5 linked regions of the Coturnix japonica genome follow. Each later gene encodes a partner of the first gene's protein in a complex. Links are inferred from orthologs where the notes say so. Each region holds a gene or a part of one and is shown on either strand. Other genes may lie near its edges.

Region 1 (2,508 bases):
GATGAGCTGGGTGGAATGTAGAGGAATTCCAGTGTGACAGCCCAGAGGTGCACTGGTGTTAGGACGTGGTCCCAGAGAGTTCAGCCCTGTTTGCTGATGGGGAGGAGCACAGCGTTTGATCCTTTGTGATGTTTTGTCTTGTCTTCAGGCTGTTGTCGTCAAGTATTTGAGATTAGTGCAGTACACCGAGATTATTTTTAATCAACAATTACTTCGAAATTGACAATGGAAAGCTTACAAATTAGAATCCAAAGCTTTGATTTCTTTGTCAGAGAGTCCGTGTTTCCCAGAATAAAAGGCTTTGAGGAAGAGCAGTATTGCCTTCATGTTATGTGTGGTAACGTCTGTGTTGAGGCCTGTGATTTTTCTCACGTTTTCCCTGTGACTCAAATACCAAAGCTGATGAATCTCTTCACCTCCACATTCCCCCAGAGGCTTTTCTCATTCTCTTCCTGTGATACTTATTTGTTTCTTTTCTCCTCCCTTGGCAGACCTGCATGGGCAAAGATGTAACCCTTCACGTCTCTGCAAGCAACCCCGCGATGCTGCTTTACCAAAAATTCGGGTTTAAGACTGAAGAATACATTTTGGATTTTTATGACAAATATTATCCCCTGGACAGCAAGGAGTGCAAGCATGCATTCTTTCTCAGACTACGGCGCTGATCTGTCAGAGGGGATCTGTGAAAAGCCCAGCCTGTTGAGCAAGGTATTACCGTGACTTTCAGCAGAGGATGCTGGCTGTCACATGAGAGCTGGAACGCACATTTGCCTTTTTCGGTAGGTCTTCTAATATCAACAGCGCTATGTTTTGTGCTGCAAGTGCAATCCAAGAGGATTGATTCATACTCTCCAAGGGAGAGGCCCAGAAATGCCAACAGAAACATGCTGAAGCCACTGGAAGACTGAGATTCTTATGGAGTTTTCCTGATACTTTGGAGATTGCCACTGGAGGAAAAAACCAACCACACAAAAAAAGCCACCCAAAATTTGTCATTTCAGAGGAGTTCCATGGATTTCAAATTTTGAAACCTATCTCACGTTACAGGGGTTTTGTTAATGTTTTGTTTATGGAAAATGAACATCTAAACTTAAATCATCCACAGTGTTTCTGCGATTTGATTGCTTTGTTAGGAACCACGTCTTGAATCCACGGAGGGGAATGCAATGTCAGGTTCTGACTTCAGGCTCTGCACAGGACAGAATAGCAATACTGAAGCTGTGTTTTAGGAATAATGAAGTGTTTGTGAACTCGTGTGATCCCAAGTTAAAAGGCCCAGGGATGTCTTTGTTCTGCTCCTTCCCTGTGGCCTTCACCCTTGTTGACTCTGTGCTCATTGTGAAGTTCTTGTAGCACGCAGTGTTTTGAGTTCAGGAACAAGATGTCAGGTGGGTTTGTAGCTAGGTGAGGTAGGATACAACAGCTGCCAAATGAGCTCTTTGAGATCTTACTGCCTATCTGCCAGTTGTTGATACTGCAGATCAGCCCTTTGGGCTCACCTCTAACCACATAGCAAGCTTCACAAGCTCCAGACAGCATCTGTCTCCACCTGCTGTGGACACTCTGACCAGAAGAAACCAGGAGCAAAAGTCAGTGGTTAAGTTTGAAATGCAGGCTCTGGTTTGTAGAAGCAACCTGCTTGCAGCTTGGAGAGCAGAGGTGAGCTGGTTCCAGTTCACTGAAGCATTTAGATTCTGTTTTCAGGGCTCGAAGTAAAGAGGAGAGCAAAGAATAAAAAATAATAGCCAAGAACTTAAGAAAAAAGACGCAAACAATGCAGCAGTTACTCCTATAGCAGGGTGCAGCCCTTCTATACAGTTTAGCAGCTTCTCTCTCTTAATTTTTGTTATTTATTTCTTTGTTTTCTGCAGAAGAACAGGAAGTTGCCACTTTGCTTTCTGACTTTAGGCTGCTCAGTGTGTTTAAAGGATGAATCATATCCACTGCCTTGTTCCTTTCGCATCAAGGTCAGAGAGCTACACAACAAATATAATGTATTTGTTTTAAATCTGCTGTGTGTGCCTCTTAGGTACTTGGCTGTAGTATTGCCTTAATGACCGCTTCACATTGGTAACAGCAGGAAGGTGGACGTGTATTACGCTTTTGTGTAGCTGACGTACATCTTCATCCAATCAAAACCAGTGTTAGTGGGAGGAAATAAGAACCCGTCCAAGAACTGTGACCTAACATCCATGACATTTCAACCTGCTTTATGACTGTGAGACTTTTCCACGTTACCGGTGTTAGGAATTAGCTGTACTTGGAAAGGAAAAACACGTCTCTATGAATGGAATTAAAGCCCTTCCCTTGACAGAGCCTACCTGTAGTTACCTATGTGCTGAGCTGACTTTCTGAGGTGAAATCCCACAGGAGCACTGGCAGGGCTCTCCTGGGGACTTACTCCCAGGAGGGGAGTAAACTCTTCGAAAGGGCTGACAATAGCAGGCCTAGGGGAAATGGTTTTAAGTTAAAAGAGGGAAGATTTAGGTTGGATGTTAGGGGGAAGTT
Region 2 (3,521 bases), on another chromosome or scaffold:
ATGTAAAAACATGCTTCTTAATTACGAAAGCTTAATTTTAATACTGTATCACCATCAAATCCCTTTTGTGAGGTATCAAGAAGTTAAACCATTCCAGAACACCAGCAACTCTGCTATAATAAATATTAAAATATTATTATTAGATTATTCTTATACATTTTTAAGAAGCACCTGACCCATACCTGATTCCATTGCCAGGATTAGGCAGATTTTCAAGAGACAATTCTAACAGTAAGTCTCATTAGCCAACATTTGCTAATTGCTGTGCAAATGGAGAGACTGACCAGCAGCACAAGGACAGATGTGCCTCCTAGAAAATAACACCCCTTCTAACTGTACGTTTGTCTTAAATTTGGGGGGGAAATAAACAAAAACAAAAATATTTCTTCAAACTACATTATATGTTCATATAATTTTTCTCATACTGATAATCTTGTGAGCTTGGGTTGGACTTTCTGGGGGTGGAGAGAGGTCGGTTTTGTCCTCCTTGTTGTTGTTACATATATTATCCTTATTGATACACTGAAACTGCAATTAAGACAAACAGTTTTTTCAAAATTTTCATGGGAAAACATGAGATTTTTAACTGGATAGCAAAGCTGAAAGACTCCCCTTGAAAGAAACAGACCTTAAAGACTCCATACACACGAGCTACTAGAACACCTCTCTCCCCAAACAGCTCAGGGAGGGCAAACTTGGATGCAGTCATTCCAGGGCAACACCTCACACTGCCACAGCCCAACAATTTCTTTGTCTCCTAGTTTTAACCTGTTGTTCTGCTGGATCCTGAATGAAGAGCACCACAAAGCCTCTGGATACTAACTTGGAGACGTTGCCCACCACAATCGTTTTCTTCACGTACAGCCGGGACGTCTCATCGTTGGACAACCCTGCATTTCGTTGTCCTGGTTTTTGGGAGATAGAAACACCCAAACTGTCCTGTGGGTAGAAGAAGAGAATAAGGCAAATACACATTGCTTGTAAACATTATTCTGTTTGGCACTAGAAAAGTAAAATTTTGTTGAATTTCATAGATGAGAGGCCCACAATGAGTCATCCCCAAGCTGCACTTACACTGGTATCCAGGCACATTTAAGCAATTCAGCACACAACAAGGACGCTGTGCCCAGCAACATGGATGCTGAATAGCTTAGCCTGGTGCAAGTTATGCAAAGTACCATGGATGTGAACCACAACTCCAGCCTGTGTTTCAAAGCAACACCTCCACACTGCCTGAAAAATCATGCACCGTTACCTGAAAAGTCAAATCAAGCATTGCCAAGACATCATCGTTTGTGTCTCTCATCAGAAATCAAGTCAGTCTCCCACAGGCAGCTGCTGAAAACCTGAACCTTTCCAATTCCTGCCCTCTGCTGCCTTGAGGGCCTTCAACATTGCTCCACAGTGAAGAATCAAGGCCAACATTGGGAAAAGAATCCAGCTCCACATAAATAAACATGGAACCAGCTGTAATACGTCACCAATACCCACGCAGGCCTACAGATCCACCCCAACACCTGGGCATCATAAAACTAGCATCAGCAACTTTGCAGCACAATCTCAGCTCTTCAGCAGTGCTTGGAACTGCCTGAAGTGATGCCATGACCACCCAGCTGCACAGCTGTCAGCATGAAAAGGAGAGGTTTTTCTGTGCCTGCTGGATAAAGCAGCTTCTACAGACCAAGGACTGCTGCCCTCTGCCCCATGTCCTGCCCTGAGCACCTGTCCTCCAGGCATGACATGGTAAACAGAGAATCTGAGAGGGATGACTATACCTCATTACATTGCTGATGCCCGAGACTGGAGCAAGAGCAGGACGGAAGCCTACCATGGCTTCTGCTCCTCATTACCCCTTGGTCACCTCCATGCTGTGTCCATCAAAGACACAATGCCACGCTGTGCCCATGCAATACAACTATTTCACCAAAGCCCCCGTGCAGAAACAACCTACACTAGTCTGGAAGCTCACGATGCAGGTGGGTCCACATATTCTGTTTCCAGTTTCTGCTGTGAACCCTAAGAAGGGCTTCAGCAGGCTGCTGCTCTGTTAGCAAGGTGTCATACACTGCTTGCTGGATGCAGTCAGTGCTTTTTCATGGCAACATGTTCAGTTGCAGAAATGCTAGCCCACTTGTGAGTGCTTTCTCTATGCAGCACTGTGCAGCCCCAGTACAGTCTCCAGGGATACAGCCACTCTGTTCCTCAAAGGATGGGCAGCAGCACCACTGCATGCAGCCTCACCAGATTCTTAAGAACACTGCAGGAAATAACGTCTTGCTATTTTCTGCGGGCTCTTGCCCCTCCCAATCTGACTTCCACCTGCATAAAGCCCTTGGTTTGAGCTGCACAACTCCTCGAGCCCCAGGGATGCAGCAGGCAGCAGCACCAACACCAGAGCAGTCCTGCTTCCCATTCAACCTTCCTGCTGTGTGGTTAACCCAGGTACATGAACTTCGGTGAGCTTTACTGCAGGAACAAGCTGAAGTGGGAGCAAGCAGTTGGAGAGGGTAAGAAACAAATGTTCAGCAAGGCAGGTAAGAACATGAGCAGATTATTGAGTCCAGACAGCCCTACAACAACATGACCACCATTCACACATTACGTTACCCGGCTAGCACTTCTGCTCTGCCTCTGGTCCAGGCTGTTTGCCAGCCGCTCGTCCGCATCCAGGCTGCCATTGTCCTTGTCCAGGAAGAAGTCATTGTGCTGCGAGAGAGAGTCGCTCTCGGAGTGGTTGGCTGATGGCGCATCCGAGCCCTGGTGAGCAGGGGATGATGAGCGAGAGGGAGACTCCAGAAACTTCTTGATGGAAGGGTGATTAAGAATGGTGGTATCACATGACCTGGTCCCCTGTAACACAGGCCAGGCACATCCAGTCATTATTTCCCTGCAGCCCATATCAAAGTCTAAGCTAAAAAGGAAAAAGTCAGCATACACATAAAAAAGCAAATACCTCATCACCTGCTTCATGGGAAAAAACACGTGTAACTGAAAAGCTTACAGCAGCTCTTCAGAAACAGGACCCCAGACTGAATCTATTCCTGCACGCCTTCTGGTCTCAGAAATGCACCTGGTAGCAGCAAGGAGGGCTGCAGCCACCTGAACACCTGCAGTGTACCCTAGACATAACAGCTCCCTTTCTCCATGGCACCAACAGCTCTGCTCCACACACAGCTGCACAACTCCCTGTGTGCTCCTACTAGCCAACCCTACTCCCCCATCACCTCCACTTGATGCAGAACCAATGAAGCAAGCAGGGGTAGCTCTCTGTCAGCAGGCAGACTCAAGTCCATGGAGCCAAAGTCCCTCACAATGGATGGAAGGGTAGCCCTCCCTGCAGCCCTGGCGAGGAGAAGTTCTCTTCCTCTCTTCCTGCACAACAGAGCTCAAAGCCAGGGGCTGGTCACAAACAGAAGGAAAAAAAAATAAAATAAAATAATAATAATAAAAGACTTGTCTTCATCTCTTTTTTCCCCCCTTGTTGGATTACTTTTAATTCCTAACAGTCCCTGATCCAACTT
Region 3 (4,249 bases), on another chromosome or scaffold:
GGACACTTATCCCTTCTCCATCCAGTCAGTTAAGACAAGTAGTTCTACAAGGCCCGTATTTGCATTCTGTTGATGTAAGAAAGCAATACTTACAGGAGCTGGCTAACCACTCTCCATTAGGACTAAACTTTACAGATGATACCGCCTTCGTATGTCCCGCTAACGTGAACTTTAGAGCATAATTTGGTTTCACTGGTGCAGGCTGGAAGAAAAATACATATGAATGAGTTGAATAAATTCCCAATTTAGTTTCTCAGTGACAAGCTCAGTATCAGACGAGATCAGCACACATGAATACATACATTCACCTGAACAGATTCTACCATTTACATTCTCTCCCCCCACCAAATTCAACAAGCCCCCACTGGAGCCAGAAGCACATTACAGCCACGTGCCACCAAACTCATCCTGATCTGAATTCCCTTCAAGCCTGCAACTAACAGATGACAGTAACACAACAGTTCGAGCACAGAGTGTTTTGAGATTAAAATAAAACCTCTGGTGATGGTTTTATACTCTGTGTATAGTACTATGAAATGCCTGTAGTTCTATTCCTTGCTCAGAAGCAACCACAAGCCAACTCCCCCAGGCCCCTTAAAACTCTATTTCAACCAAATAATCAACCTAGCACTAAGCTGTACTCAGCCTGCTTTTCCCCTACAACCTTCAGCACACTTCCCTCTCCATACAACAGCAGAGGCAGACGTATTAAGAAGTTCTTAATGCATACTTGATTCAGTTCTCTAATTGCTGTTTGCCTGGTGCACGTGCAGGTATGCACCATGTGCATTTACGCAGGCATTGTTCAGAGCTCCCCACACACACCTTGCTCTGATTGGTTGAGGAGGAAGGAGTCGATTGTGTTTTGGTGGATTCTGCATCTGGTTTCTTTTCTTCTGTTGCCATGGTTCTGAAGCCGGCAAATGAGACCTACGGTGCTTGAAGGGGGAGAATGAACGTGCTGCTTCACAAGGCAGCCCTTGCCACGGGGAGAGGAACAGCGCTGCTAGAAACAAAACCCTGGAAGAAAAAGCAAACAATCACATTAACCATCAAAGAAGGATCAGAGGCAGCTAAAGGAACAAGATCAGCTTAACTGCAGGTCTGCAGAAAACATGATGAGGAAACATATTGTACGCCTGCTCAGCAACATGCCATTTTATGCCTACAGGTCTATTAGTGGTCTATCAAGAACCCAAATACAAGACTTTGATCAGCTCCTGCACAGCGTTTTTTGCTGTGTTTTGTACCAATCACTACAAATAAAGCAGAGTAGCTCTTAGAGGCAGTGGGTTTATCTTATATTCCTTGAAACATCTGTACAACACAGCAAATACAACACCTTATATATAAGGCATTTCCAAAGCTTAAAACCACACCAGGTTTGTTTTATTTTTCCATTTCCTATTTCAAGTACTTTGGTCTAATACCTTCCCCCTAAATGCTGTGAGCACCATATCCCTGCTTGAGAGATCCCCCTGCCTAACAGCAGCCCTGCATTAACCTCACCAGATCTGCTTTCTGTAGCAAAACCTGAGCAGTGCTGTGCTGTACCCTGCAATCAGGGCTGATGCTGCAGAGGGAACAATCACGCTGCAGTTCAGCTTCATTTCAGCAGTGTAACAGAATAACCCGCAGCTCACATTGTAAGGATTTACAAATCCTTTGCTATTTGCAATATCCCATCCCAAGCACAATCCATTTTGCTTGTGGCAGCAAATCCAAGAGGAACAGCATTGACTTTTCAAGCCACGATGCACATCTTGTCCTCAGGAGGGCACAGAGCTCAGTGCCACCAGTTGCAAGCTTTACAAGCACAGTACAGACTCCTTACTTACTGTTAATACCAGCAACTCCAGCTCTATAATCCAGATCTAATGCATTTCAACCTGAACTTATATGGGAACTTGAGCAAGCAACACAGCTTACCCCTTGCACCTCCTCATACAAACCTGAGCAGCAGCACATGGCAAGCTTCAAAGGGCCCTGGCTGCAAACACCCCTTTCTCACCACACCCAGGGGGGAAGCTCGTGTAAACTCAGCTTGTAAGCAAGAAACTTCCCGAAGGCTTTAGAAGCAGCAGCAGCCTGCAGGAATACACAGCCTGCAAGGATACACAGCCTGCAAGGATACACAGCCACGTGTGTGCACGTACATAGGGCGTGCACACATCCACAGGGCTGCACGCTCTACAGCGAGGCGTGGAGCAGCACAGAGCAATGGAGCTGCAGAGCAAAGCAATGGAGCTGCAGGGCAAAGCAATGGAGCTGCAGGGCAAAGCAATGGAGCTGCAGGGCAAAGCAATGGAGCTGCAGGGCAAAGCAATGGAGCTGCAGGGCAAAGCAACGGAGCTGCAGGGCAAAGCAAGGGAGCTGCAGGGCAAAGCAATGGAGCTGCAGGGCAAAGCAACGGAGCTGCAGGGCAANCTGCAGGGCAAAGCAACGGAGCTGCAGGGCAAAGCAAGGGAGCTGCAGGGCAAAGCAATGGAGCTGCAGGGCAAAGCAACGGAGCTGCAGAGCAATGCAATGCACACACAGAGCAATGCAATGCACATACAGAGCAATGCAAGGCCGCACGCGGCCCCCTCTCGCCTCAGAGTGAGGGCGGTGGGGGAGGGAGGAGAGGCGGCTCCCCACACGAAGCCGGAGCTGAAGGAACCCATCCAGCCGGGCTCCATAGTGACTTACCGAGGGAAGGGGAAGGGCTGGGTGCACACCCGGCACCGCCGCCTCCTCCTCCTGCCTCGGGAGGGGCGGAGGGGGGACACGGCGGCGGCGGCAGCACCGGAGCCGCCAGGCGGGGAATGTGGCACTGCGCATGCGCGATGTAGGCCAAAGGCTGCACAATGCCGCTCTCTCCCATGAGCGCTACGGTGCGGCCAGAGGGACAAAAAGCATCAGTGGGGGCCGTGCGCCTTAAAGGGCCACGCGCTTCTTTTTTCAGCCTGCTTCCCGCCTTTGGAAATGGCTCTGTGCTGAAGGCCTCCATCCCTCAGGTGTGTGCTCGCTGCCCTGAGGAATGAAGGAACGAAAGCACTGAAAATTCATGCTTAACCCACAATATTGTGAGGAGACTGAGCTAATCCGTAAGGTAAACAGCACAGCAGGCCACGTAATGCTGTTATACCGAGGGTAGGTGTGCGGCCTAGCCCTGCCTAGGGATATATTTAGCTTCCATTTAGCTTGCATGCAGATTCTCCTCAAATTTCAGTGTTTTTCTGGAAAACAGTGGGTTTTTTTCCGAACTGCTTTCAGTGAGAGGGAAGAAAACCAAGAGACACGTGTTATGTGCTGGCCCTGTAACACAGGAAGATCTGCGGGCTCCAGAAATGCTGGTGGCTGCTGAGAAAGGAAAAAAGTGATGGTGTAATGAAGCCAAGGCCCTTCTCCAGCTTGGAAACCCATAGCTGAAGTCTGCAGCTTTAACCCTGCCCTTTACCATGGGGGGAAAATACAGGCATGGAACTGTGAGAGATGCTCCATCCATCCTATGCTGTTAGGGAATAAATCCAGTTCTTGCCTTGGTGTATAGTCTTCATTCTGGAAAGAAAAGAAGACTAAATACCACAAATCAGCAGGGTAATGCTATACATTCATGCAGCTTTCTTGTGATAAGGGTAGGTGTTGCTTTCACATAGGAGACAAGAGCCTGTATTTCTGTACTGTGCCTCCTCTCGTTGTGGAAGCTTTTTTTGCCTGATATTTCATATATATTAATCTATATCTATACTGAATGATACCTTTCTGGAACTGGAAACTATAGTTTCCAATACAAATGGTAATTGTAATCCTAAGCAACCCCTTAGCCTCTGAGTGTCCTGGATTTATCTTTAACAAATGTCATAAATAGAGAATCTGCACGGACAGCCTGTTGTCTTTGGATGAAATTGAACTTGTGGGTTATGAGTCATCTGTGAGGGTCCTTCTTGCTCCGCAGGCCATGCTGCCACAGCTGGGATCAGCAGGATGTGATCTCTGTCCAAATTCCCTCTCTGTGAAAGACTGGGCCTTGGCAGGCTTCTCTCTCACAAAGTCTTTCATTCCTTTTGGTTCCAAATAGCCTGAACTTGGTGATCTGCCAAGTACATTGGAAAAGACACCTGTCTGTGAGGCTTCTGGGGGGCGAGAAAAGCTTCCCGTAATGCTGAAAAGGAAAGAAAAGTCCATAAGTGTCTCAGATGATTGGGAAGTGACTGCTTTCAGTGCTGGTGTGAGCCCTCTGGATGTCTTTAAGAATGCCAGGAACAGA
Region 4 (4,116 bases), on another chromosome or scaffold:
ATCCACAAAACCTATTTATGAAATGCTGCAGGCTTTAGAGAAACACTGTTTTTACCTAAAAAATGCATCATCTTCTTCCTCACCACTTACTGGGAACAGCAGATTGAACATCAGCAGCTTAAACAACCACAGCTTCAACTGCTGCAGACTGAAACCAGACTTAACATCAGAAGCAACATTTACCTGGTTAGGAGCAATGGCATCAATTCACTGTGAAACGAGGTGCTGTGAAGACACCCACATGCTGATTCCTTCCATTAACTACCTGGATTCATGCTTTAATTCCCAGATACTTGACAGACCTGTTGGCATAAGCAATAAATATTTCATTGACATTCCAAAGTCTGCCTCCCTCAACTATTTATTTTTTACACGCTCATTTAGGGCCTGGGAAGAAGGAAAAATAAATCGCTTCCAATATTTCTGGTCTCCTTAAACAGCTCAGAGCATACATGTATTGAACTCATCCTACAACAGCAGACTTCCACCTCCCCCAGCCTCAAAGGAATAATATGGATATTCACTGTGAGCTTTAGGTCTGAGGTGGTTTCCATGTGCTCACACAGACTGAATCTCTACTTTATTCCCTGTTTAATATCTCAATGCCATCTTCACCTTCCAGATATGAACTGCCAAAGGCTGCATCTGTCTGTTAGAGAACAGCTCTCACCTTCAGCTCCCATGCAAGGGATTAAACACTTCAGAATCTGTAGGACTGAATGGGAACAACCTGTGAGCCTCAGAACACGTCCCTCTAGCACTGCATGTCATCTGAACCACCATCACAGCTGCCGAGCTGCACACAAAATGGGACATCAGCAGCAGGCCAGCAGCAGAATCATAGAATCATAGGATCACCAAGGTTGGAAAAGACCTAAAAGATCATCCAGTCCAACCGTTCACTTGTTACCAACAGCTCCCACTAAACCATGTCCCTCAACACAACATCCTTTAACACCCCCAGGGTCAATGACTCCACCACCTCCCTGTGCATCCATTCCAGTGCCTGACCACCCTTTCTGAGCAGTAATACCTCGTAGTGTCCAGCCTGAATCTCCCCTGTCGCAGCTTGAAGCCATTCCCTCTGGTCCTATCACTAATGGGGACGAGGTGACAGCCCTCAGGGGGGGACCAGCACACAGAGGGCAGCAGTCAGAGCCTCGGCCAGAAGAGCAGCTCTAAAGGACGCACAATTAAATTCATAACACGTCCTCAATCGCTGTGTGTGCGCTGCAGGCCCAGCACAACGCCGCTGCCCGGCACTGACACCGTCCCGCAGCATCGCCCCGGGCTCTGAGGGCGGAGCGGGCCGGGGCCGCGCACGTACAACGCCTCAGCGCACGCGCACGGCGGTGACGCGGCCTCGCGAAGGCCGTGACGCGCGGGAACTGCCCCGGCGTGAGGTGAGAGGCGGCGGGGCGCGGCCCGACAGCGGCCAGAGGGAAGTCGGGAGCGAAGCACGGCGGGGAGGAGCCGGATCCGGGGCGGGGGAGATGGAAACTGCGGCGGAGAGGAAAAGGGAGCGGGAGGACGGGCGGCAGCGCGATCCCGCCGCTCACCTCACGGCCTGGAGAGGGGGCGGGGACACGGGGCGGGAAGGGCGCCGCCTTCCGGTGAGGGGAGGACGGTGCTGCAGAGCGGGGCGGGGGCGCCGTGTGGGAGCGCAGGGAGCAGCGCCCGTCAGAATTAATAGCAAAGTGCCCAAATGTGCCTGACACAGACAGTCCGCCCCCGGGTTCCCGGTACCGCCATCACTTGTGTCACTGTCTGCTGGGGCCTTGGGGTGTGTCCCCATAGAATCACAGAATGACCTGGGTTGGAAGGGACCTCAAGGATCATGAAGTTCCAGCCCCCCTGCCTGGCAGGGCCACCACTTCACCCCTTCAGAATCACAGAATCATTCAGTCCCAAAAGACCTCCAAGATCCCCCACCCACCCACACTGACCGCGTCCCTCAGCCCCACATCCCCACATCTGGAACACCTGAAGGGATGGTGCCCCCCCCCCCCCCCCCCCCATAGTGCCGGCAGCTGANATTGCTCTAATAAAGAAATTATTCCTCATACCCAACCAGACCTTTCCAGCACAACGAGAAGCCATCACCTCTCACCCAGCAGGGGCAGCAGGGCCTGACCCCACCTCAGTCCCTGTGACAGGCTGCTCACTGTTCTCCACTCAAAGATGCTGTGAGGATTTCAGCCACCTCTCCAGCCCACAACACCACTTTGGACACAGTGATCTGCATTTGGGGCAGCCCGTGTTCCAGGGAGAGGATGGAGCGCCTGGCCTCCTTCGGCAGTGAGTACCACAGTGCTGCAGGGAGGTGTTCACCATGGTCTGAACTGGGGAGGGAGACAGCAACAGAAGCATCTGATCCATCAAATCCTCGGCTGCATGAGGACGGGAATGATTTGGAGGCCATTCAGATCTTGTTTGTCTGCTTTTCACTACTTAAATTGCATTTAAAAACAAATATGGCTTAAGACAGTATTTAGACTATTTTGCAGTGAACAACATAAGAACTTGCAGAGCAGTGTCGCACTCCTTGTTCAGCAGCCTGAGGTTTGGGCAGGTTACAGAACAATCGAGCCAATGCCTTTGCAACCACAGCAATATGCTTTTTGAGTCAGACAGGGAGGATGGATGGGAGAGTGCTGCTGTCTGTGCAATATTCTCCATAAAGCCTTGGGTCCCTGGGCACTGAGTCAAGTCAGACAGCTCACACAGCTGCCATCACTGCTGAGCAGCACCAGACAGCTGCTGCAGAGCTGTTCCTTGATTCCAGTGTGATCGAACAAGTTGCCCTCAATTGACCAGGTCCATAGCAAAGTTTAAATGCCAATATCTGTCTTAGAACTCCAGCTCAGGAATGAACTTTTATCAGTAGGGAAGAGGTTGCATACAGCTGAGTTTGTTTTGAATTGCTGGACACGAGTGAATTTGGGTGATTGCAAAAGCAGTGCCACATTTGTGTTGCATGAGATTTACATCTGGCTTTGCAGATGACCCCTTCGATAAACCTCCATGCAGAGGTTGCTCTTCGTACCTCATCGAGCCCTACGTGAAGTGTGCGGAGTGTGGGCCTCCTCCCTTCCTCCTGTGCTTGCAGGTGAGTGCAAGGATGAAAGCAAAGACATTCATTTCTCTGAGAAACTCATCAAAGGCTGTCCAGTGCCATGCCGCTCCATAAACACATTAATAACAGGTCTCCATAAACTCATATCAACACAGTTATTTGCTCAGGGAGAGGAAAATGACAAAGAAAATATGAGAGGCTGAAGAACTGAGACATGAGCAGCTGAGCAAGGTCTTTGTGAAGGCAGCCAGAGCTTGCCAAAGGCCTGACTGTAACACAGCATGCCACTGCACGTCTGCAGAAGTATTGTTTCTGTCACTTTGATGGCACAGAAAAGAAAATCCATCAAAAAACACCCTCTCCCTGTCCCTTTTCAGCTTTCTTTTCTTTTTTTAACCTCCCAAATGGAAAAGAAAATCAGCAGGAAGTTTGCAATATAGACAATAATTCTGACCAGATAATAGTTATTTACAAATTGTACGTGTGATCAGATCACCACAGAAAGGATTGTTTTAATTATTTATGACTAAAAAATGGCAACAACTTCTAATACCAAAAAGGGAGCTTTATCAAAACTCCAAAAGGAAACTGCACTTTCAATACTGCAGAATGCTCTGTGCTCCCTTCCAGGAATGACACATAACATAGCACCAAGTTTCTTATCCTGCCTATCTTGGCTATAAATACCTAACAAAAAGCATGGAGCTGCACACGAGTTGGGTCTTGGTGTACAAGACCAGAATACCACACAGCCTCAAAGTTATAACACAAATTGTTCTGCCATTACACGTTTTTTTCTGATTTCACATCAGAAAAAGCAGATGCTGTTTTCAGCATATCAGGCGGTCACTTTTGGATAAGCAGTAGTCAGAGAATGTAAGGGGGGAAAAATGCCAGTCACAATGTTTTCAGGGCAGAAGAGAGTAACATAATGCTCATCTTTCGTTCTGCAGTGTTTCACACGAGGATTTGAGTACAAGAAACACCAAAGTGATCACACTTACGAGATAATGGTAAATATTCCTTTTGGGTTACACCTA
Region 5 (3,521 bases), on another chromosome or scaffold:
TTTTCAGCAGTCTGGATAGATGTGTGGGCTTAACACTCTAGAAGTAGAAAGATTCTAGATTTTGGTGGACAGGTGGCTCTGCTCAGGTACTCACTAATTCAGCATTTGAGTACCATGCTGTTAGAAGGGGATAGACGCTTATTCCTTCCATGCATGTGCTCCATAAAGCCACAGTTTGTTTCAAGAGTGTGAAATTCTGAAGTTGTTTCACTACAGCTTCACTTGTTTGCAGCAGGCCTAGTGTTATTGCTGTATTTGTATTGAGCTATTGTATGAATCTGTCATAGTTACAGTCCGAAAGAAAAGTATGTAGCTATAAGTACTTCCCATGAATTCCCATTCTTTTAAGTGGCACATACAACTTGCTGTTGATTTGGGCAGCTGCTCATCCTCCAGTGCAGCAGATTGCTAAGCCTGATCTCTGTCAGTATTCTTCTATGAACATCTGTATTCACTGTGATAGTTCATCTTAGTCATGTTCGACATGTAGACTTCTAAACACCTTAATGCTGAAAAGGAAAAGCTCTGAGTTTGAAATAGTTGATTGAATTTACTGTTTACATTTTAAAATAAAATGAGCTCCTTAATATTAATAGGCTGCTTATAGAACCGGTTCTGCACCAGGGACATGTTTGACTCCTCTTTACTGAGACTGTGTTAAACAGGTTCGAGAAAGCTTTTGTTGATTCTCATAGAAACTCTGGACTAATTTGAAACGGTTCCAGTGTCTGCGTGGGCTGAGGCTGAACTGGCATGCTGTCTGGAGTAATTTAATTATCTCTAAATTGGTTCGTCTCTTAACTTCATTTTTCTTAAGAAATAGGTATTATGTAAAGCCACTTCCAATATGTTTGCCAAACCTTAAAAGAATGGCAGTCCTGCTGTAGTGTGCTGCTAGATTGAAGGTAGTGCGTTAATTGTCTCCTTGTATGTGTTGGAAGCCCCAGGTTTACAGAGTGGCTTTGTGTTACTGTGGTGGCCTGCCCCTCAGTTGTGGGTAGGAAAGGATCATGTAGAAACATGTGGAAAAGTAGTCTGATGTACTGTGAGTCAGTTTGTTTATAATGTTGTTCATATTTACTGTTATGTAGTTTGTTTTAGTGTGACTTCTTGGAAAGTTTATTACATAAGGTTGAAATAAAGTAAGATAAATATTAAGTATCATTCTATAAGGAAAACTCGGACTTGCGTAACTACTGGAAGTGAACCAGGTGTTGAATGAAGCTGGGGCTTGTTTCTAAGTAGTTGGTGTCTGTGTGATACTTCCAGCCTGTTCTGTATTAGGTTCTGTTTTAGGGTGTGTGTGTGTGGAGGCATATGGTAGCAAGTGGCATATCAAAATGTGCCTTTTCTCATATGTTTTGCCTGTTTTGTTTTTAACCTTTCTGTTATTTTTGCATTCTTTAAAAGCTGTTGCAGAATACAGCTGTGCTTCAGGTTTCCTTGGGCAGGTTAAAATGCTGTGTTACAGCTTCTGAATGCATTTTAATGTAGACATAAGTACGAGGATTTCCATTCCAAAACAATAAGGAGTTGTATGTAACTGTATATGTAATATGTGTTGTTGGCATCTAGAAAATGAGATCAGATATTCAGATCCAAAACTAAAGTGAATTTCTATGGTTATGTTTGTTGTTTCTATCTTTAAAGTTTTCTTTGTTATAGGTAAATGATTTTATTTGAAGACTTGCAACAAAAATGGAAAGATAGAATCATGGAGAGATTAATGGATCACAGTTCACATAGGAAGGGCATCTTGGTTCTGTAGTTGATGTATGAATCTGATGTGCAGAACATGAAGATGGAGGCTTTCCAAGAATAAAGCAAAATGGATCTGAGAGTCCTGAGTGCTTTGCAAGCCAGGACTTTTTGCACTTCAGTAAACCTTGCATTTCTAGTGTGAAAGCTTGCCCTCTTTAGAGGGCATAGGAGAAGAGGCAGGGAGAGTAGCTGTCACATGTTCCCACAAGCACAACTTTTCATTGCCAAACGACAGAAAAATGATCAATCGTCTTCTATTTTTTATAAATGTATGTTTAAACATGTTGGTATCTGATTTCAAAAGCCTTCTAAAAGACCAATGTTTTATTTTTTCTAGCACTAGAAAGTTTGGGCTTTGGGTCCTATATCAGTGAAGTAAAAGAAGTCTTACAAGAATGCAAAACCGTAGCACTAAAGAGAAGAAAGGCCAGTTCACGCCTGGAAAACCTCGGCATTCCGGAAGAAGAGCTTCTAAGGCAGCAACAGGAATTGTTTGCAAAAGTAAGTGAGGCAACACAACACTTAGACAGATGAGGTTGTAATAATTAATGTGGTGAATCTGATGCTGCAAAAACATGTACACACACCTAGAAGTATTCCTTTCCTTGATGACTGTTGTAGCGTCTAAGGTGCAATTGATCTTCTTGTCCTGCTTGTGTTACAGAAAGTCGAGTCAATAAGTAAGATACTGTTTGTGGTTACTCCTGCAAGTTGACACATACAAACAAATTTTATACTCTAGATTTAGGAAGTTTTTGAGTTTTGTTGTTTTTTTTTCCTTCCCTACTATTGAGACAGGTACTTCCATTGTATTGTAGTGATGCATTAAGAACTACTTAGCTGAGGAATAAAAAATGGAATTGCCTTTTTTTTTCCTTAAGTTGCATTTAAAACATGAATCTCTCTTCTGTTTGTGACCATCACTGCACAATTCATTGAGGCTTTGAAAGTAGCAATTAATTGTTAAAAAATTCCAATTTGTCCTTTCTCATCTTTATTTACTTGTGGCGAGATTCTATTGGAGTTAATTCATGCATAAACTTTTAAGGAGGCAGTTGAAGCACAGGGAAGGAATTTGCCTACAAATACTCCTTCATCCCAGCTTTGCCTAATAGTAAATGTTCCCAGGTTTAAACAACTAAAAGCTAATTTTATTTATCCTTCTACACCATCTTTCTCTGTCTTATTCTCAGTCTGACAAGAAAGTCTTTCTCTAAACAAAATGATATGAAAATAATCTTTGTTTCCTCTTGCCCAATCCATGAGTCTTGTTTTCTTAATTTACATAATTCTGTTTCCTCTGAAAATGCTTATTCAGTCATTACTATGTCTGATTACTATGACCTCCTTTCCCATCACTTCACTATACTTGTATCTTGCTGGAACACTTCATAATTGTTGGGTTTGTATCATAAGGTGCCAGCTATGTTAATCTTATTTGCATGATGAATTCTTTTTGCCAACTAAAGCTTCTGCATGCATGAGGCTCTTGTCAGCATGCATTGAACTAGTTAGGACTTTTTTTCTGACTGTATTACCACTAGAAGGAGCAATATGGCTGCTTCTGTTTAAGGTTTGATTTGTATGTAGTAGTCAGCTTAAATCATGTTTTTTTTTCAAACCATTGTTCAAAAACTTTGGTCTACAAAATGATGATGGATATTCAGAACAACAAAGATAGTTGAGGGGGTACCACCTCCTAAGTAACATAAAACAAGAATGCTAAAAACCATTGCTACCTTATGTAGGCAGAATGGGCC

What was found.
Region 2: KAT14 (region 1) and YEATS2 share a complex: the UniProt entries of both Homo sapiens proteins name them as parts of the ADA2A-containing complex. The link is inferred for Coturnix japonica from reciprocal best matches to the Homo sapiens genes KAT14 and YEATS2.
Region 3: KAT14 (region 1) and WDR5 share a complex: the UniProt entries of both Homo sapiens proteins name them as parts of the ADA2A-containing complex. The link is inferred for Coturnix japonica from reciprocal best matches to the Homo sapiens genes KAT14 and WDR5.
Region 4: KAT14 (region 1) and TADA2A share a complex: the UniProt entries of both Homo sapiens proteins name them as parts of the ADA2A-containing complex. The link is inferred for Coturnix japonica from reciprocal best matches to the Homo sapiens genes KAT14 and TADA2A.
Region 5: KAT14 (region 1) and DR1 share a complex: the UniProt entries of both Homo sapiens proteins name them as parts of the ADA2A-containing complex. The link is inferred for Coturnix japonica from reciprocal best matches to the Homo sapiens genes KAT14 and DR1.

Annotation. Positions count from the first base shown.
Region 1 is NC_029518.1:13,423,920-13,426,427, reverse strand, and holds the end of KAT14 (cysteine-rich protein 2-binding protein), read left to right. Parts: intron 1-491; coding exon 492-665; 3' UTR 666-2,008; downstream 2,009-2,508. UniProt on the Homo sapiens protein: Component of the ATAC complex, a complex with histone acetyltransferase activity on histones H3 and H4. May function as a scaffold for the ATAC complex to promote ATAC complex stability. Has also weak histone acetyltransferase activity toward histone H4.
Region 2 is NC_029524.1:700,948-704,468, forward strand, and holds part of YEATS2 (YEATS domain-containing protein 2), read right to left. Parts: intron 2,851-3,521; coding exon 2,608-2,850; intron 940-2,607; coding exon 824-939; intron 1-823. UniProt on the Homo sapiens protein: Chromatin reader component of the ATAC complex, a complex with histone acetyltransferase activity on histones H3 and H4. YEATS2 specifically recognizes and binds histone H3 crotonylated at 'Lys-27' (H3K27cr).
Region 3 is NC_029532.1:5,717,777-5,722,025, reverse strand, and holds the start of WDR5 (WD repeat-containing protein 5), read right to left. Parts: upstream 2,813-4,249; 5' UTR 2,689-2,812; intron 1,021-2,688; 5' UTR 907-1,020; coding exon 826-906; intron 203-825; coding exon 94-202; intron 1-93.
Region 4 is NC_029534.1:7,297,243-7,301,358, forward strand, and holds the start of TADA2A (transcriptional adapter 2-alpha), read left to right. Parts: upstream 1-1,310; 5' UTR 1,311-1,403; intron 1,404-1,589; exon of another isoform or gene 1,590-1,613; intron 1,614-2,074; 5' UTR 2,075-2,273; coding exon 2,274-2,298; intron 2,299-3,002; coding exon 3,003-3,109; intron 3,110-4,029; coding exon 4,030-4,089; intron 4,090-4,116. UniProt on the Homo sapiens protein: Component of the ATAC complex, a complex with histone acetyltransferase activity on histones H3 and H4. Required for the function of some acidic activation domains, which activate transcription from a distant site. Binds double-stranded DNA.
Region 5 is NC_029523.1:12,070,766-12,074,286, reverse strand, and holds part of DR1 (protein Dr1), read left to right. Parts: intron 1-2,098; coding exon 2,099-2,262; intron 2,263-3,521. UniProt on the Homo sapiens protein: The association of the DR1/DRAP1 heterodimer with TBP results in a functional repression of both activated and basal transcription of class II genes.